Linked DNA regions of Alligator mississippiensis. The protein of the gene in region 2 interacts with the protein of the main gene of each other region in a pairwise test. Links are inferred from orthologs where the notes say so. Each region holds a gene or a part of one and is shown on either strand. Other genes may lie near its edges. The genes, in order: LSM10, LSM3 and CLNS1A.

Evidence for each region.
Region 1: the proteins of LSM3 (region 2) and LSM10 interact in binary tests that used the Homo sapiens proteins (3 or more experiments, as listed by UniProt). The link is inferred for Alligator mississippiensis from reciprocal best matches to the Homo sapiens genes LSM3 and LSM10.
Region 3: the proteins of LSM3 (region 2) and CLNS1A interact in binary tests that used the Homo sapiens proteins (3 or more experiments, as listed by UniProt). The link is inferred for Alligator mississippiensis from reciprocal best matches to the Homo sapiens genes LSM3 and CLNS1A.

What each region holds. Positions count from the first base shown.
Region 1 is NC_081829.1:240,139-245,460, forward strand, and holds LSM10 (U7 snRNA-associated Sm-like protein LSm10), read right to left. Parts: upstream 1,332-5,322; 5' UTR 1,104-1,331; coding exon 735-1,103; 3' UTR 549-734; downstream 1-548. Other genes in the region: protein OSCP1, read right to left, coding at 2,747-2,863, 3,576-3,639, 4,454-4,593. UniProt on the Homo sapiens protein: Appears to function in the U7 snRNP complex that is involved in histone 3'-end processing. Increases U7 snRNA levels but not histone 3'-end pre-mRNA processing activity, when overexpressed. Required for cell cycle progression from G1 to S phases.
Region 2 is NC_081835.1:16,882,346-16,889,507, reverse strand, and holds the start of LSM3 (U6 snRNA-associated Sm-like protein LSm3), read left to right. Parts: upstream 1-4,089; 5' UTR 4,090-4,166; coding exon 4,167-4,187; intron 4,188-4,479; coding exon 4,480-4,590; intron 4,591-7,162. Other genes in the region: XPC (DNA repair protein complementing XP-C cells), read right to left, coding at 431-558, 1,139-1,346, 3,844-3,919. UniProt on the Homo sapiens protein: Plays a role in pre-mRNA splicing as component of the U4/U6-U5 tri-snRNP complex that is involved in spliceosome assembly, and as component of the precatalytic spliceosome (spliceosome B complex).
Region 3 is NC_081824.1:465,355,094-465,362,711, forward strand, and holds the start of CLNS1A (methylosome subunit pICln), read left to right. Parts: upstream 1-4,552; 5' UTR 4,553-4,678; coding exon 4,679-4,797; intron 4,798-6,403; coding exon 6,404-6,540; intron 6,541-7,618. UniProt on the Homo sapiens protein: Involved in both the assembly of spliceosomal snRNPs and the methylation of Sm proteins.

The DNA.
Region 1 (5,322 bases), on a different chromosome or scaffold from region 2:
GGGCTGCCCCGCCTACGTGTGCATGTGCGCGCATGCCCACGTGCTCCCGGGCAGCCCCCATCCCACCGCTACGCCCAGGCCCCGGGAGCTCCTGCCCGGCCTCGCCCTGCAGAAACCGGGGACCGGGACGGCGCCGTGCGTGTGCTGCCACTCTGCAGCCGCGGCCCAGCTGCCCCCCCCCAGCTGCTGGGGGCAGGGCCCGGCCCAGCCGAACCTCAGGCCTCCAGCGTGACGGGCACACGCAGCACAGGGAGCCCGGCCCAGAACCCGCCGGGGAAACGCGGGCTGCAGACTAGGCCTCCCTGCCGGGCAGGCCAGGAGCTGCACGGCCCTGGCTGCCTCCGGCACAACGGCACCCGGGTTCCTGCACCAGACCTCCGCCAGGGCCCACTGCGAGGGCCGGAGTGCTGCAGAGGCGGCGGCCCTGAGCACCTCGGGGTACAGCCCGGCCCCGGCAGCGCGGGCGCGGGCCAGCAAAGGTCGCGGTCACGCGGCAACGACAGGCCCCGCTAGGAGCGGAGCACAGCACAGCACAGCACAGCACAGGGTCCAGCAGCTCCCGCCACGGGGGTTTATTTGCAAAACGTCTCCGCTGCCTGCGGACGGGACACCAAGCTGCGTCCTCCGGTGCCCGGCGGTAGCGGCCGGAAGGGGCCGGCCCAGAGTCGTCAGCCCGGGGGCGGTGGCGGCGTCGCGGTGCTGGGCTCCGCAGGGGCAGGAGGCGGCGGCGGCGCTCACTTGCGGCGGGCGGTTGGGAACTCGCGGCGGGCGGCGGCGGGCGCGGGGCGGCGCAGGCGCTGCAGCAGGCGGAGCTGGGCCTGCAGCGTGGCGCGCACGTCCAGGCCGTCGGGCAGGTGCACATAGCGCACGCTGCGCCCGGCCACCAGCAGCTGCTCCAGGCAGTGGCGGCGGCCGCGCCGGTCCGTGAGCGCGGCGGGCGCCAGGCGGATGTTCATGAACGCGTCCACGTTGGCCACGCGCCCGGTGGCCGCGCTCTCGTCGCGCAGGTCCACGGTGGCCTCGAGCCCGCGCAGCCCCTGCAGCAGCAGCACCAGGCTGTTCTCCGAGATGGCGCGCTCCCGCGGCGACGCCGGCGCCCACATGGCCACGGAGACACGGACACGGACAGGCCCGCTCCTCGCCGGAGTCAAGGGGTGCGTGGGCCGGCCCGCCGCGCCTGCGCAGTGAGTGGCCGGGGCCCGCAGGGATTGGCTGCCGCTGCGCCTGCGCACTGAGCAGCCGAGTGAGCCTCACGGGGATTAGCTAGTCGCCGCGCCTGCGCACTGAACGGCCGGTGCCAAGGCGGGAGCGGGCGCGCTGTGTGGACACGTGGGCGCTGCGCGGACCCGACCCGCGCGGAGCGGGTCACGAGCGTGGAATAGCTATTTGGTCCCGGAAACAGAAGGCCCCAAGCGGTTTAATAAGGAGGGATCCCGGCTCCAGCAATCGGGTCTGGCTCGTGTGAACGCTGAACCCCCGCCCTTCCCCTCTCCCCCCTCGTGGCTCTTAGGGTTGACTTCAGGCTTCAGAAAACACGCGTTTGCCTCCCTGCGGCATTTCAGAACGTGGATGACAACACTGCTGAGACGGCCAGACCTCGCTCCCGGACACACTCAACTCTGAGACGCAAGCACAGACACACTGAAGTTTATTCTGGTTTCTGCGGTACTCTGAAACACAAGCCTAGCTTTCATTTTTATTTCCTCCTTACAGGACACCTCCACCAACACCAGCATTTGGTCACAGTACATACAGCAACTTCCAGTACAGGCAAGAAGCGATATTTCCCTGGAAACGTGGAGAGAAGTCGAGGCACGACTCGGTGCAGTCGGTACCAACCAGGGAGCTGTTCTGTGCCTGATGACAGACAGCGCGATGCTCAGATCACCTAGAACAGTCACGACCGCCTTGTCTACACTACATGGCCAACACAGGACAGGAAGTACATTCATAAATCCTCTACACAAATGTAATCCAGGGCAAAAGATCACCAGCTGGAGCAACCCCATGAGCCCATGGCAGGTGTCACCCTCAGCCACAGCACTGGGAGCCAGAGGGTGCAGATGCCAGGGGTTGAAGCATGCAGCAGCCACAGGGAGCCCCACTGCAGGTGCTGCTCATGCAGGGACCAAGGTAGACAGTGGCATATCGCATGGTGGCCCCGGGGGAGCCCTGGCATGTATGCAGCCACACGGACACAGCCCAGGTCGGAGCAGAACACTTGGTGTCACTCACTTCATCTGTGCGCTGCCCGGGTGTCTTGTGTGTGATGCTGGACACATGGATACACACATCTGACAATGATTCTGGATGAAGGAGGAGTGGTTCCTTCCCCCATCTATGAGAGCCAGGCACTGGCTGGTAGACACTGTGCCAGCTTCCACTTCTCACAGTAAAGGACATGGACAGAACCCGGCATCCAGCGGAGGAGGATACAGGCAGAACACGAACACTGCACTTTCGTTGCAGCTACTGGGCAGCTGCATCCCTGGCATGGGATAGCCTAGAGTTATGATAGAAGATGAAGGAAGCAAATATGTAAAATGCCACATTTAAAACCAGAGTGCCTATGGCAGAACATGTGTCAGTAGCCCCCAGAGCCTGCTTCTGGTGCCACGTGCGGGCCTAGGCACATCAGTCCCAAAACCAACAGATGGGATCTGTAACGGCAGCAGGGTTTGGCTGTGTCAAACTACGTGACTAGAGGCAGCTCCATGTCCTGCCTGTGCCTTTGGGAGATGGAATATCAGAGCTCGTCCATCATCGCCAGCAAATCGTCTCCCTTGCTGGTGCTCTGTCTGGGCTGATCCGTCACCTCAAATTCCCCCATGATTTGAGCCAGCTCCTTGTTCCGCTCTTGATCCTGTTTAGAAGGAAAGGACCCCGCCATGTAACTCCTTCATTTCACAATGGTTTCAGTCAGAGTAACTGGGTAAAGGGCTCAAGTGTAAAGGCTAACATTTTATTAACCTTAGAAAAGTCCTTTCTATTTTGAATATTATGTATATGAAAAGTAAATTCAACAGAGAGAGATTTCAGTAACTGCACAATTAAAAACCCTCATGGATCAACAGTTGAATAGCTGCTGAAAATAAACAACAGTAAAAGAATGTAGACAGTTGTTTCCCTAGAACAGCTAATGATGCAATTTGTGGTCCCAAACGAGGCAAAGTCCGTGGGGATGCTGACTGTGTAAGGGCCACAGGATTGGAAACATAATATGGAACTTGGATTGCATTTACCTACCAATGCTACAAACATTCACCTGCTAAACTTAATCTCCTGCAGGACTGCAGCTAGGAGCACGAGAACAATCCAGTCTAGTCTTTGTTGGCATTTTTTTTTTTAAGTTGGGCTTTGGCCAGTGAATGGTTTATTGTACAACAAATGTGTTAATAGCAAATGTGTTAATAGCCAAATCTTTGTAGAATTTCCTTAATTGATTTGGGATCTTAACCAGGTTCTGCAAAAGCATGCTAATATTTTTAAAACATCAAATGCATCTTTAAGATACAAGTCAACCCTTGGCAGCAAGGAGATGATAAAGATCACATAATAAAGATCACTGCACGTACCTGAGTTGCTTGTATATTGATAACCTTATAAGACAGTTCTTCTGGCCTGGTCAATGCTGCATGTCTGGATAGAAAGTATAAACACATTTACTCAATCCCATAATGATAAGTGAATGAATGAATGAAGAAAACATTTGTCTGGAGATGCTTAATAAGTTAGCACTTGGAAGCCTGACTCAACTTTCCCCATTTATGTGACTACAATGGACAAGAGAACAGGCAACCATCTTTGTATATCTCTGCAGGTTTGTGTGTTTTCTGCTGACTGGAGTGATGGGAATGGTTCTTTGATTGAGGTGAATTTGTACCAAATGTGTTCTGCACCCATCATCAGGGAATGGAATGGTTCATAGCCTTCCCCTGATCACTGCAAGCCAGAAAATTGTTCACTTTACCAAAGGGGAACTAGAAGAATCACAGCAGAGACCTGACTGGCTGAGCTATTGTGAAGGCCGTAATATGCATGTCTGAAAGGAGCAAAGGGGTATTGGTAATGGGCTACAGTTTCTTTCACTTTTGGCCACAGGTTCAAATCTAAGACCAAGTTTCTACTGATAAGAGATCATTCGCTGCTGAGCAGTGAGGTATCATCAGTTCTCTTCCAGAGGAGCAGTCTCTACACTCCCAATGTAAACTGGCTCCCCTGCTAGTAATCTCAAAATGGAGGCCAAGGTGGGGCCGTGCCAGAGAGATTGAATATCACCCCTTATTCCCCAATGGAATCCATTGGGGAATCGAGTCAGAATTGAGACACTAGAAGGGTTGCCAGTACTGTACTTACATTGTGGAGAGACAGCTTCTGTCTCCACGACTCTTAACACAGCACTTCACCCAGCACCAAAATCACATGCACAAAACAAGCTCTGAATTAAGCATACTCTTCCTCCTCATCTGTGGTGAACAGGTTTAATCGGAATCCTGGCTCAGTGCCACTGGGTTTCTTGATCTCAAGACCGCCCATTAATCTAGCCAAAAAGTTCAGTTCTTCCTTAGCAAGAGGGTTAGGGGCTGCGTTCTCCTGCAGAAAGCAATAAATGAAGCTGTTATTTGTTTATCAATCCAGAGACTGACCATACATTTTTGTTTCTGGTTTCATTAAGAAAACATTTTTCAGGAGTGACATAATTAACACATTTCTGTTATTGTGGTATAAATGTAGGTCCTGATGTTTAGCACATACATACACATTAATTAGATGTTTGAATTTACAGATACAGAACAAAGTAATTTCCTGGATAGTTAGAATAGCTGCTAAATTTGGAAAACTAAACTTCTCCACCTCTCAAAATATTGAAAAGTGCTCAAGAGAAGCAAGATTTAAGGATGCATGAGGAACAGGACAACAGATAATACAGAAAAATTAGACTTTCATTATAGAAGTCAAGGAGGTGGCCTGGTCTAGAGTATTGCGCACTACTGTTCCCTCTCTCTGTTAATATGGACAGTGCAGAATTGGATAGTGTTCAGAGAAGGGTGACAAGGTAGAGGCCTGGAACAACCCCCAGTGATGGAGAATGAAAATACTGGCATGGTCTGCTTGAAAAACGGAACAAGCAAATGGGCAGAGTAGAAGCATATAAAATAATGTATGATCAAGAGATCTCTCACACAAGAACAAGGAGATCCCATATACAATTAAACAGCAGCAAACTCAGAACTAATCAAAACTTTTTTTTTTTTTAATAGAACACATGGAGCATGGGATTCCTTTCCACTGAGGTCAAGAACTTAGCAAAGCCTGAAAGAG
Region 2 (7,162 bases):
GGTCCCCCCACGTTCCTGTGGGACGCTCCATGCGCCCCAGCATTGCAGCATTCATGAGCCACACCTGGTACACCTCAGGGTGTGTAGAAAAACATATAAAACTGTGTCTATGGCTGAATCACTGATTCTCTGAATCAGCATCGAATCTTCAGATTTGGATTCGGCCAAATAATTGAATCAGGACAGAAATCCAAATCAGTTAATCGAATTGCTGTTCCCCAAATCGGGCTGAATCTAAACCTGAATTGAATACAGCCTGCTTCGCACACTCCTAACTTACAGGATCAGCATTTTAACACATGCCATGCACTGTGACCATTTATTGGACCCTGCATAAAGATGGACGGGTTCCACTGAAAGCAGCCAGAATCAGTTAAACTATCCCAAAGAATGTCTGATAGTTGATAAGGCCATGTTGAAAGATTCGTACCTTCCACATCCTCCCATTCATCCTCACTTTCATCATCATTGCTGCCATCATTGTTTTCATCCATCTCTTTTTTAACAGTGGATTCTCTCTTCAAACTCTTCCCGTTCCCAGAGGGGCTTGGTAAACCACTATAAAGGTTGCACAAAAAAAAACTTCAAAGTTGTGGGTTATATCATCTTGTTTGTTTAAAATGTGGAGGGAGGACAATGTCTGTACTAATTAGAGGAACACATGTAATATGACAACGTTATCAATAACAACAGCTGCAAAAGCTTAGAATATACTTAAAACCTAAACCACAAATACCAGCATGGACACAATCTTTGCAAGCAATACATGGATGATAAACACAAAATATTTCACTGGCATTTTTAAGTCTGTTTATGTTGCATTATAAAATGCCTCCAATTTAAAAAAAAAACTATAATTTGGGGGGTCTTAAGTCCTTAACAACTTCCTTCTGAAATTAAAATACACATTAAGCTTGGAAAAGCCTCAAACGCTTTCCACCCCCATTCAGTTCCATACACTTGATCCCATGAACATGCACACAAGTAATTTGGCTCATATGTGAAGCTATGATGAACAGAATGGTACCAAACAGCAGAAGTAAATTTCTCCTATATGAGGTTTGTTGAACTGGGTGTTAAGTAAACATGTTTAGCAATGGACATGTAATAGTTGTATTGATGCAGTCAGTTAACTTACCTGCACATTTCCTCCTCTTTAGGATTTCCTTCATTTTTTATAGCTTTGTTATTTTTCCCCTTTCCTCTTGACTTTGATTCTTTTTGGCTTGTAGCTCTAGTTGCTGGACTGTAAACTCTAGTGTCACCATCTTCTTTCTTCTTCTTCTTTCCACTGAGGGCCTTTGAGACACTCCTCTTCAAAATAGGCTTTTCCTCTTCAAAGTCATCTAAATTGGAACAGAGGGAAAGAAGTGTTATGGAGCAAAATCCTGGCTCTCTTGAAATCAACCATAAAACACCTACTGACGTCAATGGGGCCGAGTTTCTATGGAGCAAAAAATGCAGGCTAAGAGCGAACAAACTGCCTTTAAGGATATCCTTAAAACAAATGGGTAGCATTAAATCAAAAAGCACGTGTGAAATAAAATTATAAGGAAAGTTCAGCTCAGAAGACAAAAGATTTATTCCTGGGTCTTTTCCAATGATGACAAAAAAAAAGCAAATATTCTTGCTTCAGTACTGCATATTGAAGCATCTACTGCATAAAAAAAAATCTCTAGGCAAGTGGAATTTTTGCAAGTTTGATTTAAATAACCCCTTTTCTCAAGAGTCTCCTGAAGCAACAGCAAGCTGCTTTCTTAACCTGCTGCGTCTATGTACTACTATGATGAATTGGATAGATCTTACACGTATGAAATCGATCTGGTTTCATGCAACATAGCAGGCTTACCTACCTTTCAGATTATGGCCTAATGTAGTTGAGATAAAGTTAGACAAGTTTTCACATGTAAGATATTTTTCTCAGGTCTTACATGTGAAAGCTTGCTTATTTTCATCCCAACTCCATAGTTGGTCCAATCAAAGATCTCACCCTATGAAATCCTTGCCTCTTGCATTATTTCTGGATCATCATAGTTACAACATCACTCTTACACTACCATAGAGGGAGAGAGCATTCACTTAGATAGCTCTAGAGCAATCTACACCCCGCTGGCATTCAATATCCCCCCTGGTATCCACGGGCAAATCTAGGATTTTGAAAAGAAGGGTGCAGATGGTGTAGAACATCATATCATAGGATCACAGAAAATTAGGGTTGGAAGGGACCTCAGGAGGTTATCTAGTCCAGTGGTTCTCAACCTTTTTTTGTACAAAGACCCATTTGTAAACATTGATGGCCAGTCCCGACCCAGTGCCCCTCACTCCTGACCGACTGCTTTCTGCCGCCAGCTCCCCAGTGTGTGGGGCAGGAGTGATACATGTGGGGCATATGTGTGGGGCGTGGGGCATGGGGCATAGGGCATATGTGTGGGGCATGGGGGGCTCCAAGCAGCCCGCTGCAGGCGGGAACTCTGACAACCTGCAAGAGAAAAGCCACCGTTTCCCACATTTTATTCCTTTAAAGGAGAATCCATTTTGTTGATCCATTTTTAAAGTTTGTTCAAGACCCTCTCTCATATTCTTGCTACCCACTTTTGGGTCACAACCCATATAGGTAGAGAAACACTGAGCTAGTCCAACCTCCTGCTCACAACAGGACCATCCCCAACTAGATCGTCCCAGTCAGGGCTTTGTCTAGACAGGTGATCTGCCGAGGTCCCTTCCAGCCCTAACGTCCATGAAATCTATGAAAAAATCTCCAAGGATAGAAATTGAAACTAAAACTACACCACTATCCTTCTACTTCTTTTCCTTCCATTATAACAAGGCAGGTTGTTCATTCATTTGTTGCTTCCACCGTTTTACAGACAGATATAACCAAAGTATAATACAAGTAACTGTAATTTGAATCAATAATACAATGAGCAAAGGGCTGTAATAATGTAAATCCTTGGATGAAGATCCGATGGGTCAGGTTATCCCACCGGTTGTCTGCAGTACTTTCTTGGATGCTAGCACTCAGTTCCTGGAGCTGTTTGTTTTTTTGATCCATGAGCATCCCCACAACTTTCCCTTCTTCTTTTAGGAGAGACCAGTCTTTCTCTATTTACCAATTTCTTCCAGCTCCTTCCACAGCCAAATGTGCAAGTTAAGGCCACCCACACGAAAGCGCTGTACTACGGCTTCTGGGTCAATCTGTTGTGCAACGATCCCAGCGCTCGCCCCTAGGAGCCCAGGGCAGGGGGTCGGACTTCGTGATCCGTTCAGATCCCTTCAGACCCTAGAAACTAGGAAACGCTTTATATTTGATGCCTGGGATCCAGGACCTCACCCGTCTGTGTGGAAACGTTACGGCACCACGCTCCCTCTTCACGACCGCTCCGGGTAACCTGTGCCGGTGCTTTTCTACCCTCCTTGCGAAAGCTTTTCCTAATATCCTACCTAAACTTCCCTAAATGCAACTCACATTTTTTTTCCCCCTCCGGTCAAAAAAGAAACTTGACGCTTTATTAATATGCTAAGGGGGGGGGGGGGGCACTATACTATTAGAGCAAAAAACAACTATAACTATTGGAGTGCGCGTGAGTTTTCTAGAGCATATATAAAACTTAAAAAAAAACCCAAAATAGTCAAAGGGTATCGTATCGTCAGTGCTGAGGTCATCAAGAGTGAAAGGCATGTCTGTCACTCAGTTATATAACAAGATCCAGCCGTGTCGGGCTCTGGTGCTTTGCTGTCAGTCATTTCCACACCCGAGTTAACGTCTCACCGCCCCGGCACCGAGCCCGGCTTCACGGTCCGCGATCCCGGGGCCTCCAGCCGGGCCGCCGCCGCCGCACTCACCGTCCGACCCGCGCGGGGGCTTAGGCCTCTTGCTGGCGGCCTCCCGCGCCGGGACCCCGCGGCGCTTTCTCCCCATGCCGCAGCGCCGGCTCCCAGCCCCGCCCACCTGACGTCCCTTCCGGCCCCAGCACCCCGCCCCCCTCCCGTGAGACACCCGCCCCCTTGAGGTGAGCGGTGCCCATTTCACAGCTGCGAACACTGAGGGCTCGCGGGGAGACAGGCCACGCCCTCTCCCCTCGCGCGACGCGTGACGTCATCACGCCCCCAGCCCCGCGGGATGTGGAAGGCGGGTTCGTGGGATCTCGCGAGAGTTCGTTTGAAAGATGGCGGACGAGGTGGACCAGGTGAGGCGCTTTCCCCGAGCCGGCTCGTGTCATCCGTGTCTCGGCCGCGCTGGCGAGGCCTGAGCGCTGGGACGCTAGTGCTGGTGGGGCGGGCGCAGGCTGCCAGGCCCTCGGGGGATTATGCCCCGTTTGCTCAAGTTGCCGCTTCTGGTGGACGCTGGCTTGATCGGGGTGTCTGTGACACAACAGCAGTGTCCTCGCCCTGTCTCTGCCTGCGAGCCCCGGGGATTAGCACACGCAACGTCCAGGGGGTTTCATGCTTGTAATAGGAACCGCCTCGTTTTTTTCTCAGCAACAGACAACCAATACCGTAGAGGAGCCGCTGGATCTCATCAGGCTCAGTCTAGATGAGCGAATCTACGTGAAAATGAGGAACGATCGAGAGCTCAGAGGGAGATTACATGTAAGCGAAGATCACAGAATCGTAAATAAGGGTTGGAAGGGAGCTCAGGAGGTCGCATCTAGTCCAACCCCTGCTCAAAGCAGGACCAGCCTCAGCTAGATCACCCCCGCCAAGGCTTTGTCTAGTCAGGTCTTAAAAACCTCCAAGGCTGGAGCTTCCACAACTCTTGGTGATCTGTTCCTGTGCTTTACTACCCTCCTAGTGAGGGACTTTTTCCTAATATCCAACCTAAATCTCCCTTGCTGCAACTTGAAACCGTCGGGCATTTTTACCCATGCATGTGCCACAGCGCCGGGCGCTTTGAAAAGCACGTGATGCTGCAATGCATGCGGTTGGGTAAGTGGTGAAGTGCGCGTCAGAGCGTGGAAAATGGCGGTGGTCCACTTTTGAACTAAAACACATCAAAGGTGTTTTCATTCAAATGCACGCCGCTGCCATTTCCTCCGTGCTGGTGTGCATTTTGCCATTTATACAACTGCAGATGACGCAGTGCGGTGTGCATCAGCTCGTGTGCAGAGCAGACTCAGTTAATTAAGTCGATTAATCTGCTCTGATGCACTGGATCTGTGGTGCGTGGCAGCATGAAAAAGTATGTGTATAAATGCCCGTTGTTTCTTGTTCTGTCATGTGTCACCACTGAGAACAGTCCAGCTCCATCCTCTGCAGTCCCACCCTTCAGGGAATTGAATGCTGCTATTAAGTCCCCTCTCAGTCTTCTCTTCTCTAGACTAAATAAGCCCAGTTCCCTCAGCCTTTCCTTATAAATCATGCTCTCCGGCCCCCTGTCCATTTTGTTGCCCTCCACTGGACTCTCCGATTTGGCCGTATCCTTTCTGTATTGGGGGCCCAAAACTGAACACAGTACTCCACATGTGGCCTTACCAGTGCTGAATACAGGGGAATAATCACTTCCCTTGATGTGCTGGCAGTGCTCCCACTAATGTTAGCATTCTTTTCAACAAGGGTACGCTGTTGGCTCATATTCAGCCTATTGTCTGCTATAACCCACAGGTCCTTTTTTGCAGAGCTGCTGCTTGTCCAGTCAGCCCCTAGCCTGTCCTGGTGCATAGGATTATTCCATTCTAAGTGCAGGGTTTTGCACTTGTCTTTATTGAACTTCATGAGATTTACTTTGGTCCAATCCTCCAATTTGTCAAGGTCTCTCTGAATCCTAGCCCTACCCTCCGGCATATCTACTACTCCCCGCAGCTTGAGTATGCAGATGACACCAGCTCCATCCCATTATCCAGATCTGTGGAAATACTTGGGATCAGAGGTCAGTTGGGCTGCAAGGAACCTCTTGAGGTTGTCTAGTCCAGCCCCTGCTCAGGGTAGGATTGCCCCTGACTAAACCATCCCAGCCAAGTGCCTTTCCGACTTTCTCTCAAAAACTTCCAAGGACAGAGATTCCACAGCTTCTCTAGGTAGCCTGTTCCAATGCTTGACCACCCTCATAATCGGAAGGTTCCTCCTAATCTCCAACCTAAATTTCCCTTGCCGTAGTTTGAAGTCATTGCACCTAGTCTCTTTCCCCTATAGTTACAGAGAAACCCCATCTCCATCATTTCTATAGTCATGACTTGGGTATTTGAAGGCTGTTATCAAATTCCCCTTGGTCTTCTATTCTGCAGGCTGGTGAAGGCTGGTTCAGTAGGTAGTATTAGAGACAGATGATGCCTTCATTTCTGTTGTAATGGTGAACTTGTCTGTAGTGCTGCATGCAGGTTACCATAAACTAAATTATGATCTTAATTTAGGGGTCGGCGTCTTTTGACATGCATGTTGTAAGTGGCATACGCTGCATCTATGAGGCACAGGAGATCAGGGAGGCAAAAGAGAACACGGTGGCAGATAGGGCAGAAAGTAGAGCAGGCAGAAGAAGGGAATTAGAGTGACGGACTGGGAGGGTGCAGGGCTTACCATTTGGGTTGGTCTAATAAAAGATATCAAATTCACCCAAGGAACCTTGTGGGCTTACCATGTGACACTTCAGCCAAAAAGTTGGCTTCCCACTGATTTAAAGTTGTATGGCAATTTTTGCACCTGGCACGCAGCACAATCATATCTTGTGATTAGAAACATCTGAAAGGTGGCATATTTCCCCCCTTTGCAAAAGAACTTACTCCTGCTTTCCATACCAGATGTTCTAACAATGTGATAATTCAGAGCAGTGATTGTCAACCAGGATAGCACAGTTCCTCAGGCTGCCATGAGATTTTTTTCAGGGAGTGCTGTAAACAAGTGATCCAGTAAAACTGCCCTGCATGTAGTGCACATCCTTCCTGCGTTAGGGTTCTCTAATAACTGTAAAGGAGACAGCAGGGTCAGCTTGTGCTGTAGCCCATCCCAGTTAACCCCAACCTCAATCCCCTGACATGCCAAAAATCAGAGGCATGCATGACAGCTCCACTGTCCCACCTGACTCTTCCTGGGAGATATTGTGCAGTGGCAGACCTAGAATGGCTGCAGCACAATCCAATAGGGCTGCGCAAAGTTTTGGGTACTGATTTGATTCAGAGGAGATTTGGCCCAATTCGGTAGCCAAATCTCCGAATCCAAATCAAATCGGGAC
Region 3 (7,618 bases), on a different chromosome or scaffold from region 2:
TAAAGGGAAAAAGAAGGTGGGGATTTTCTCCCCTCTCTAGTGGCAAAAGTCTTCACTGTCCGTATCAGATGCATAACTCATCCTCTCAGTCCCCAACCAACTTGCCACTATGCTGCCTTTTGCAAAGCGCATGCAAGCTCTGCACAAAAATCTATGGCACAACAAAAATAAATACCTCAGTCCCTAAGGAGCATGCACTTTAAGGTAATACAACTTGCTGTTCTGCATAATAATCCACTGTGGGCTTTTCCTTAATAAAAACATTCCCTTTTTCTAAAAGTTCAATGGACTGTGTTGCAGTTTTCCTCAATAATTGCAGAGACAGTGGGAAGGGCTGTCTGGATATTGAGACAAGAGGCAGGTCAGACTATAAAACAGTGTTGTCCTTTCTTCCAGCTTGTGATCCACGGTGAGTGATAATATTTATAATGTGCTTATGCTTGATCTTGCCCGGTCTGCTGTGGATCATTGTAGCAAGTGGAAAGCACAGTTTAAGTTTGTTGGGCAAACACTTGGCATTAGCTAGGCACAACTGGAGAGAAGCAAGCCTGAGTATAGAGCCAGTCCTCAGCTCCCTCTTGTCCTGTATCAGCACAATCCTGTAAACTTTCATTCATGTGAATTGTGCCCAGCCATACTGAAGTACCACTGCCCAGTGACAGTCCCAGCACCTGCCACCTAGGGAATTCTTTGCCTGAGCAATGATTTGAATAATTGAAGCCAGAAATGGACAACAGAAGAAGAACCCTGTGGCTCTGATCTATAAATCCTTTTTCCTTCCTAAGAAGCCATAAAAGTTGTATGGCCTTATAACAGAGGGGAAACCTACAGTTGGGCCCCAGAGCAGCCTCAATTCTTGTCCTTGCTGGGTTCAATGCAAATACCCAATTATAAAAAGTTTATCAGTGCAAATTTTATTTTAGCACTTTTAGCGAATGTAATCCTTATTGTCCCCTTTGTGGTTACTTGAATCTTCTGTGGGTTTTGTGAGGGCTAAAAAAGTTCAAAGATCGTATCAGTTATCAAGTTATAACGGGAAGATTTGTTTCCAAGTTAAACTTGAAAGCATGGAGTTGCTTTGTGTGCAGGACAGACTTTTAATTGGAACAAGGCAGCATTGACTTTATTAACTTCAAAAAGTCTAAAGTATGACTTGGTGGTTCCAACTCCCTCCCTCCTGTTGTATGTGGGGAATTAATTTCCTCAACTGGCTCCTTTTCCTCAAAGAAAAATGGCTTAACCCATTGCTAACCAGGAGTATAAGGAAAAAAAGACAAATATATCAAGGTAGGAGACATTAGAGGTGCAATTGTATCCATCTTGACCCTTTTAAAATACCCATCTCTTAGCACAACTGCCTCATAGTAGCATGCTGCATTACTCCTGTTCTCGGGCAGTGTAAAAGGGTCACCTCGAGGAACTTGTCTCAGCAAGAGAAATCTGCACTGATGTAGCTTCCTGGATGTTATGGATTGTTGTGTTGGTGCTTAAATACAAAGCCTCCTTTTCCACCAATGCAGCACATCTACAATACAGACTTGTAGCTAAAAAAGTGCAGTTAGACCAAGGATATGAACAGAACCAGGGTCTAGGAGGGTAGGCTAATGTTCCCGCTTTTGCAACGTTAGATATCTGTCCTGAGACTGCCAGCAACTGACTGATCTTAACTGGCAGTAGCTTGCGATGTAGCCACGTCTGCAGTAGAATCTGGTCCCAGGCCTTTGAACCCCTTTCTCATGAGGCCACCACATCCTCATCAGAGAGAAAGTCAAGCAGAGAATTGGCGATTGTTATTTGTGACTCTGCTTTTTTTCCCTTTAGCTCAATGTGGAATTCTGCGCATGCAGCCAAAATCCAGTGTAGTGGATTGGGTGATGGTTACTGAATAGCTCTCATGCTTTTTTTCTTATCTTTGCTGCCTTTCATAGTGAGGGCTACAGCCCATTAAACTTTCAACGCTGTCCAGGAAGGTGAGTTGAGTCTAATGAGTTCTCTTATCTGAACCTGGTGATCACCTTAATGCTTCTATTTGCTTTTGTTTTCTAGATGGTGAGCATTTTAAGACAGCAAAACTGCTGAAGACACAGGCTCTTGAAACACAAATGGGATGAGTACTGGGACCTTAGGCTGGAGCGGTTTGCACGAGACTCTGCCAAACACAGCTCACAAGGAAATGGATTTTTTCAAGTGAAATGCCTCCTCTTTTAATGGAGAGACAAGGTTTTTTTGTGTAAATCTGGTATCTTTTATTAGACCAACTCAAATAGTTGGGAAAAAAATCATCTTTGCAAGCTTTCAGGTATAAATACCCTTCGTCAGGCTGAGGAAGCATCTGCAGTTGGTGCATGCTCTTTCTGGATGCAATGTGATGATTTAAAGAGTTGAACAGATATGCCAAAGAGTGACAACGCCTAGGACAGTTGTCTCTGTAGCGGTTGAAGGAGGCATGCATTTGTGTCCAGCCCATGCACTTCAGCTATGGATCACAATACTGTAATTCCTTTATTTTCTATTTGTGTCTGATTGGGACCAGGAGAGGAAGGGCAGAGTAAAGGAACCAGAAGCGGTAGTGGTTGCTACATTCCCCACATCTGCATCCCTCATCCTTACAAACTGTGGGAATACAGCAGTCACCTTTTAGGCAGTGACATCTGAGACAGCCCTGGCTGATCCACAGACAGCTGTTAGCAGCCCTGAAACGGACCACGGCTACTCAACGTAAGGGCTGGTCCAATTGCCACGTTTACGAACAGACCCTAGTCAGATGCTGCCAGGTGCTGATCCAGGAGCAAGTTTTCCAAGTCAGGCTATCCATCCCGCTTGAGGGAGTCACTAGTCTCACTGGGATATAGCTGAACATTTGGGAGGGGAAAAGCGGGCACTGGCATGGCAAAATCCAGGCGCGTCGGAAAGGGGGTGGCGGGGCCTGCTCCCCTTCCCTCTCCTGTTCCCGCAAGGCTGTCACCTCCGCCGGCATCATTTCCTTCGGAGAGGAGACGTAGCCAAACACGGGAGACGGGCGCTCCTCCCTGCGGCAGGGCTGTCAGCTGTCTGGTGGGTGGCATGATGAGCGCTGAGCGCTCCCAGCCAGCCGCACCGGAGAAGTCGGGAACGATGCGGAGCCTGTGAAGAAGAAACGAGGCCCCAGATGGGAAAGTGGAGAGCGAAGAGCCACAGATGCGAGGAAGAGGACGGGCGCCGGTGAGCGGGGAGACAGCTGCAGACGCCGGTCCTGCCAGCGCCAGCCAAGGCAGGTGGGCTGTGGCAAATGGGCCTGGCCACTGCCGCTGCGTAGCGATGGGCAGAGCGCTGGCGCGGGGCACAGGCTGGGGCACGCTGTGTTGGCAGAGGCCGAGCACGGTTCCTGCTGGGTTTCCTCCTGCCTGGTGAGTACAGCCGCATCGGCCCCTGCTTCGCTGTCATCCCGGACCTCAGGCTTGCACGGCCCTTGGCTTGACCTGCAGCGCGGCGTGGTCCCGGCGCGGCGACGCTGCGGGCCTGCTCTGCCTGGGGACGTGGGAGCTCAGCCTGGGCGTGCTCTACCCTGCCGCCCTCAGGGAGCCTGCGCGCAAGGGCCCGTTGGGGCGGTTGGCACAGCCGAGCGGGGTCGAGAGGCACCCACAGGTCCTGCCTGGCACCAGGGACTGTTGCCATGGATACCACCACCACTGGGACTGGAGGGGCTGTTGCCATGGATACGGCCAACTGTCACCTACTGGGCCTGATGGGGCTGTTGCCATGGATATGGCCAGCTTTCACCCACGGGTTGGAGGGGCTGTTGCCATGCCTACTTCCAACTGTCACCCACTGGGGTTGGTGGAGCTGTTGCCATGGATACTCCCAGCTGTCACCCACTGGGGTTGATGGGGCTGTTGCCATGGATACTCCCAGCTGTTATCCACTGGGGTTGGAGGGGCTGTTGGCATGGATGGCCAACTGTCACCCACTGGGGTTGATGGGGCTGTTGCCATGGATACTCCCAACTATCACCCACTGGGGTTGATGGGGCTGTTGCCATGGATACTCCCAACTATCACCCACTGGGGTTGATGGGGCTGTTGCCATGGATACTCCCAACTGTCACCCACTGGGGTTGATGGGGCTGTTGCCATGGATACTCCCAGCTGTCACCTACTGGGGCTGGAGGGGCTGTTGGCGTGGATACTGCCAACAGTTACTCACTGGGGTTGGAGGGGCTATTGCCATGGATACTCCCAATTGTCACCCACTGGGGTTGATGGGGCTGTTGCCATGGATACTCCCGGCTGTCATCCACTGGAGGTGGAGGGGCTGTTGCCATGGATACAGTCACCCACTGAGGTTGGGTGTGAGTGGGTCACTGCCCCTGCCGGGGGGGGCGGGGCCTGCACTACAGTGACTCCGCCTCGGGGCCCTACACCAGCCCTCCGCGCGTCACGTGACGGGAGGGGCAGGTTTCATTGGCCGGCGAAGGGGGTTTGGACGTAGCGTTCGCGACGGCGTCACGTGACAGGCCTGCAAATGGAGCGAGGGCTTCAACTTCCCCCCGTCCCGGCTTGACCATAGAGTGGCGGCTCCGGGGGCCAGCGTGCCGCCTTCTTTCTCTATGGTGGCGGGGGGGGAGAAGCGGTAGTTCCGCCTCCGGCCCGGGCGGGTTCCGCTTCCGGCGACGGCAGAAGCGGGACGGGACGGGGTGGCCATGAGCTTCCTGAAGCGGTTCCCGCCGCCGGCCGAGGGCGTCCGGCACCAGCAGCCCCACACCGAGGCCGTGCTGGGCGGCCGCGCCCTAGGCTCCGGCACCCTCTACATCGCGGAGAGGTGCGGCCGGGCCGGGGGCTCCGCGGGGCTGCCCAGGCCCAGCTGCAGCCCGGGGTGGGGGGTGAGAAGGCCTCAGGGAGACGATCCCGAGTCCCGAAGTCAGTTGAGACCCTCAGCCCCGGGTGGACCAAGAATCAAGGGGGGGAGTTGGTCTGTAAGGAGGGGAGCAGAGTCTCAGACCCGTGGGAGTTGTCCCACGTGCCCCGTGCACGGCTGGGATGAGCCAGGTCGGTGGTGCTACAGTGTTGCCAGCCCTGCCTTGCCCCAAATCATGAGATGCTATTTTTTGAAGTGTGTGTGGGTTTTTTGTGAAGGTGTTGGGGGGCTCTGTGCCCGTCTCCCTCGCTCTGGGAGGTCAGCCATGTGATGCCATTGCCACCCACTGCACGGGCAGGGGATGTGGGCGCGCTGACCACGCAGCACAATCCCTGCCCGCCCGGCAGCAGGAGGCTCACTGGGGCGTGGGGCAAATGCAGCATGGTGCAAAGCCCAGTCCATAGTGGACAGCACACTTCTGCCTCCCCCCGTGCCTCTGGACAACGTGCCCTGGCCCCGGGGCCCCATTCATCCCTGCCCCACTCCCTCACCATGGGGGCCTCCATCTGCCCCTCTCCCTCCACCTACCAGCTGGGAAAATCCAGAGATGTGATGGTTGGATATGGAGATCGCGAGTCAGTTATTTTGTCTTTGAAATCCTGAGTCTCGGGATGGTTTTGTGATAGTTGGCATTACTGCTGTTAGGCAGCTGCAGGAGGCTCGGGTTTGGGCCTCCTGTATGTCTTGCAGCCCTGTGCCAGCAAAGAGCGCTCGGCAGCAGGAAAAATCTTGGTGACGCGCTGCTGGCTGAGAAGCCAGACGGTCCTGGGGTCCTCAGCGAAGGAGAGATGGGATGGGGTTTGTTGTGGAGCAACCTCTTGTGCTGGGTTCCCGCTTGGAGTTGCGATTGCCGCTCTGTTGGTGGGATGGAGCTGCGGCTCAAACAGCGAGTGCTGTCAACCCACACAGGGCCCAGTTGTGGCCTGTTTTTTTTTTTTCAATAGACTTTTGTCTGCAGCTCGTACAAGTTGTTCTTGCTTCTTCCTCCCTGCTCTGTTCTAATGTGCTGCAAGGCTTTTTCCAGAGCTGTTTACAGGCCACGGATAGAAGGAGGCAGCGTATGCACCAGTTGCGTTATCAGCGATCTGTGTTGTGGGAGAACCAGGTGCTGCTGAATCCAAGTACAGAGCTGCCTGCTTGGAGAAGTGGGGGGAAAAGAGCTTGCTGGGCAGAAGTAGGAAAGCAGTTGCAGAACTGGAGAAGCAGGAGCATTGTAGCTATGTCTGGCCTGGAATTTATCAACAATACCCAAGAGTTGTGTGTGTTTAGGTCAAGAAGTGACCTGCACATTGAGCTGAAACTTGTCCTGGAGGAAAAAGTAGCTTTGGTCATGTTTAGCTTCAGGTAGAAAGTCCTGTTAGCACAGAGATGGAGCCTGGGCTTAGCAGTGACTGGGTGAACGCTGTTCACACCGTCTGTCGTGTGGGTGTGGCTGATTTGGCTGTTGTCTGCGAGATGTCACGGCTTTCCTGAGTTCCTGACTTGCCTTTTATTTATTTTTTTCCCTTAGTCGCCTGTCATGGTTTGATAACTCTGGTCTGGGCTTCTCCTTGGACTACCCCACCATAAGTTTACATGCTGTCTCCAGGGACCTCACTGCCTATCCATGGGAGCATTTGTATGTCATGGTGAATGCCAAGTTCGAAGGTATAGTATGCCTGCAATGTGACCCTCTGGTAACTTGTCACTTGAACAGTCAGTTATGAACAGTGGGGAGCTTGGGATTCAGAAGTGCCAGTCCTTGCCCAGCATTCCTCATTTCAAACAACATATCCTAGGGCCTCTTCTCTTTCTCTTGGGACCTCAGCTGAGTGCTTGTATTAGGACCATTCTACCATTGCACTTGCTCTCCTGCTTCTGGGCAAGTTAAACTGTCTCACAGGACCATGTTCCTGTTAAATGTCACTTTTCACCCCTCTGCTCTCTTGAACCTCCTTAAACATTTCTGCTTAGCCAGTTTCCCTTAGATTCTTGTGCCCCCTTCCCATGCTCCATGCATTGCTTTGCACTCCTCTACTCCACTCATTTAGTATCTCGTGAATGGGTGCTCACATGCCTTCTAATGGAGAGCAGACAGGAAACCTCCATCCCATGTTCATGGAATGTTTATTTCACACGAGCAACTTCCATAAGAGTTGCTTATATTTAGAGGCTTGTTGAATCTTTAAAGATTTCCTACAACAGACTTTTTTTTACAGAGGCTTTTGCCATTTCTTTATTGTTCACGGTTTGGACAGAAATTTGCAGGGCTTATTTTTTTTTAAATTACGTTTTAAAATCTTTTACAAATATCAGGTTTGCTATATCTGTTTTGGAAGACTTCTTAGGGGAGCATGTGTGGGGTGAAATGTAACGCCTCAGCTGTAGAGCACGAGTGCTAAATCTTTATTAAAGACATCTTTTCTCTGTAATTCTAATAGGTCATTTCTGCTAAGCAGATGTTAAAGCCACCTAAAAGCTATGGTTTAAATAGACTGACTTGAAAATCTTTCCACCTCTCTAGCACTATCAGCTGCTTCAGTTTTCAGACTCTGTAACCTTCTCATGTAGTAACTTTGCTGGTAATAATAATAATAATAGAAAAATAATAGAATCATAGAAAATTAGGGTTGGAAAGGACCTCAGAAGGTCATCTAATCCAACCCCTTGCTCCAGGAAGGACCATCCCTAACTAGATCATCCCAGCCAAGGCTTTGTCTAGCCAGGTCTTAAAAACCACCTCTCT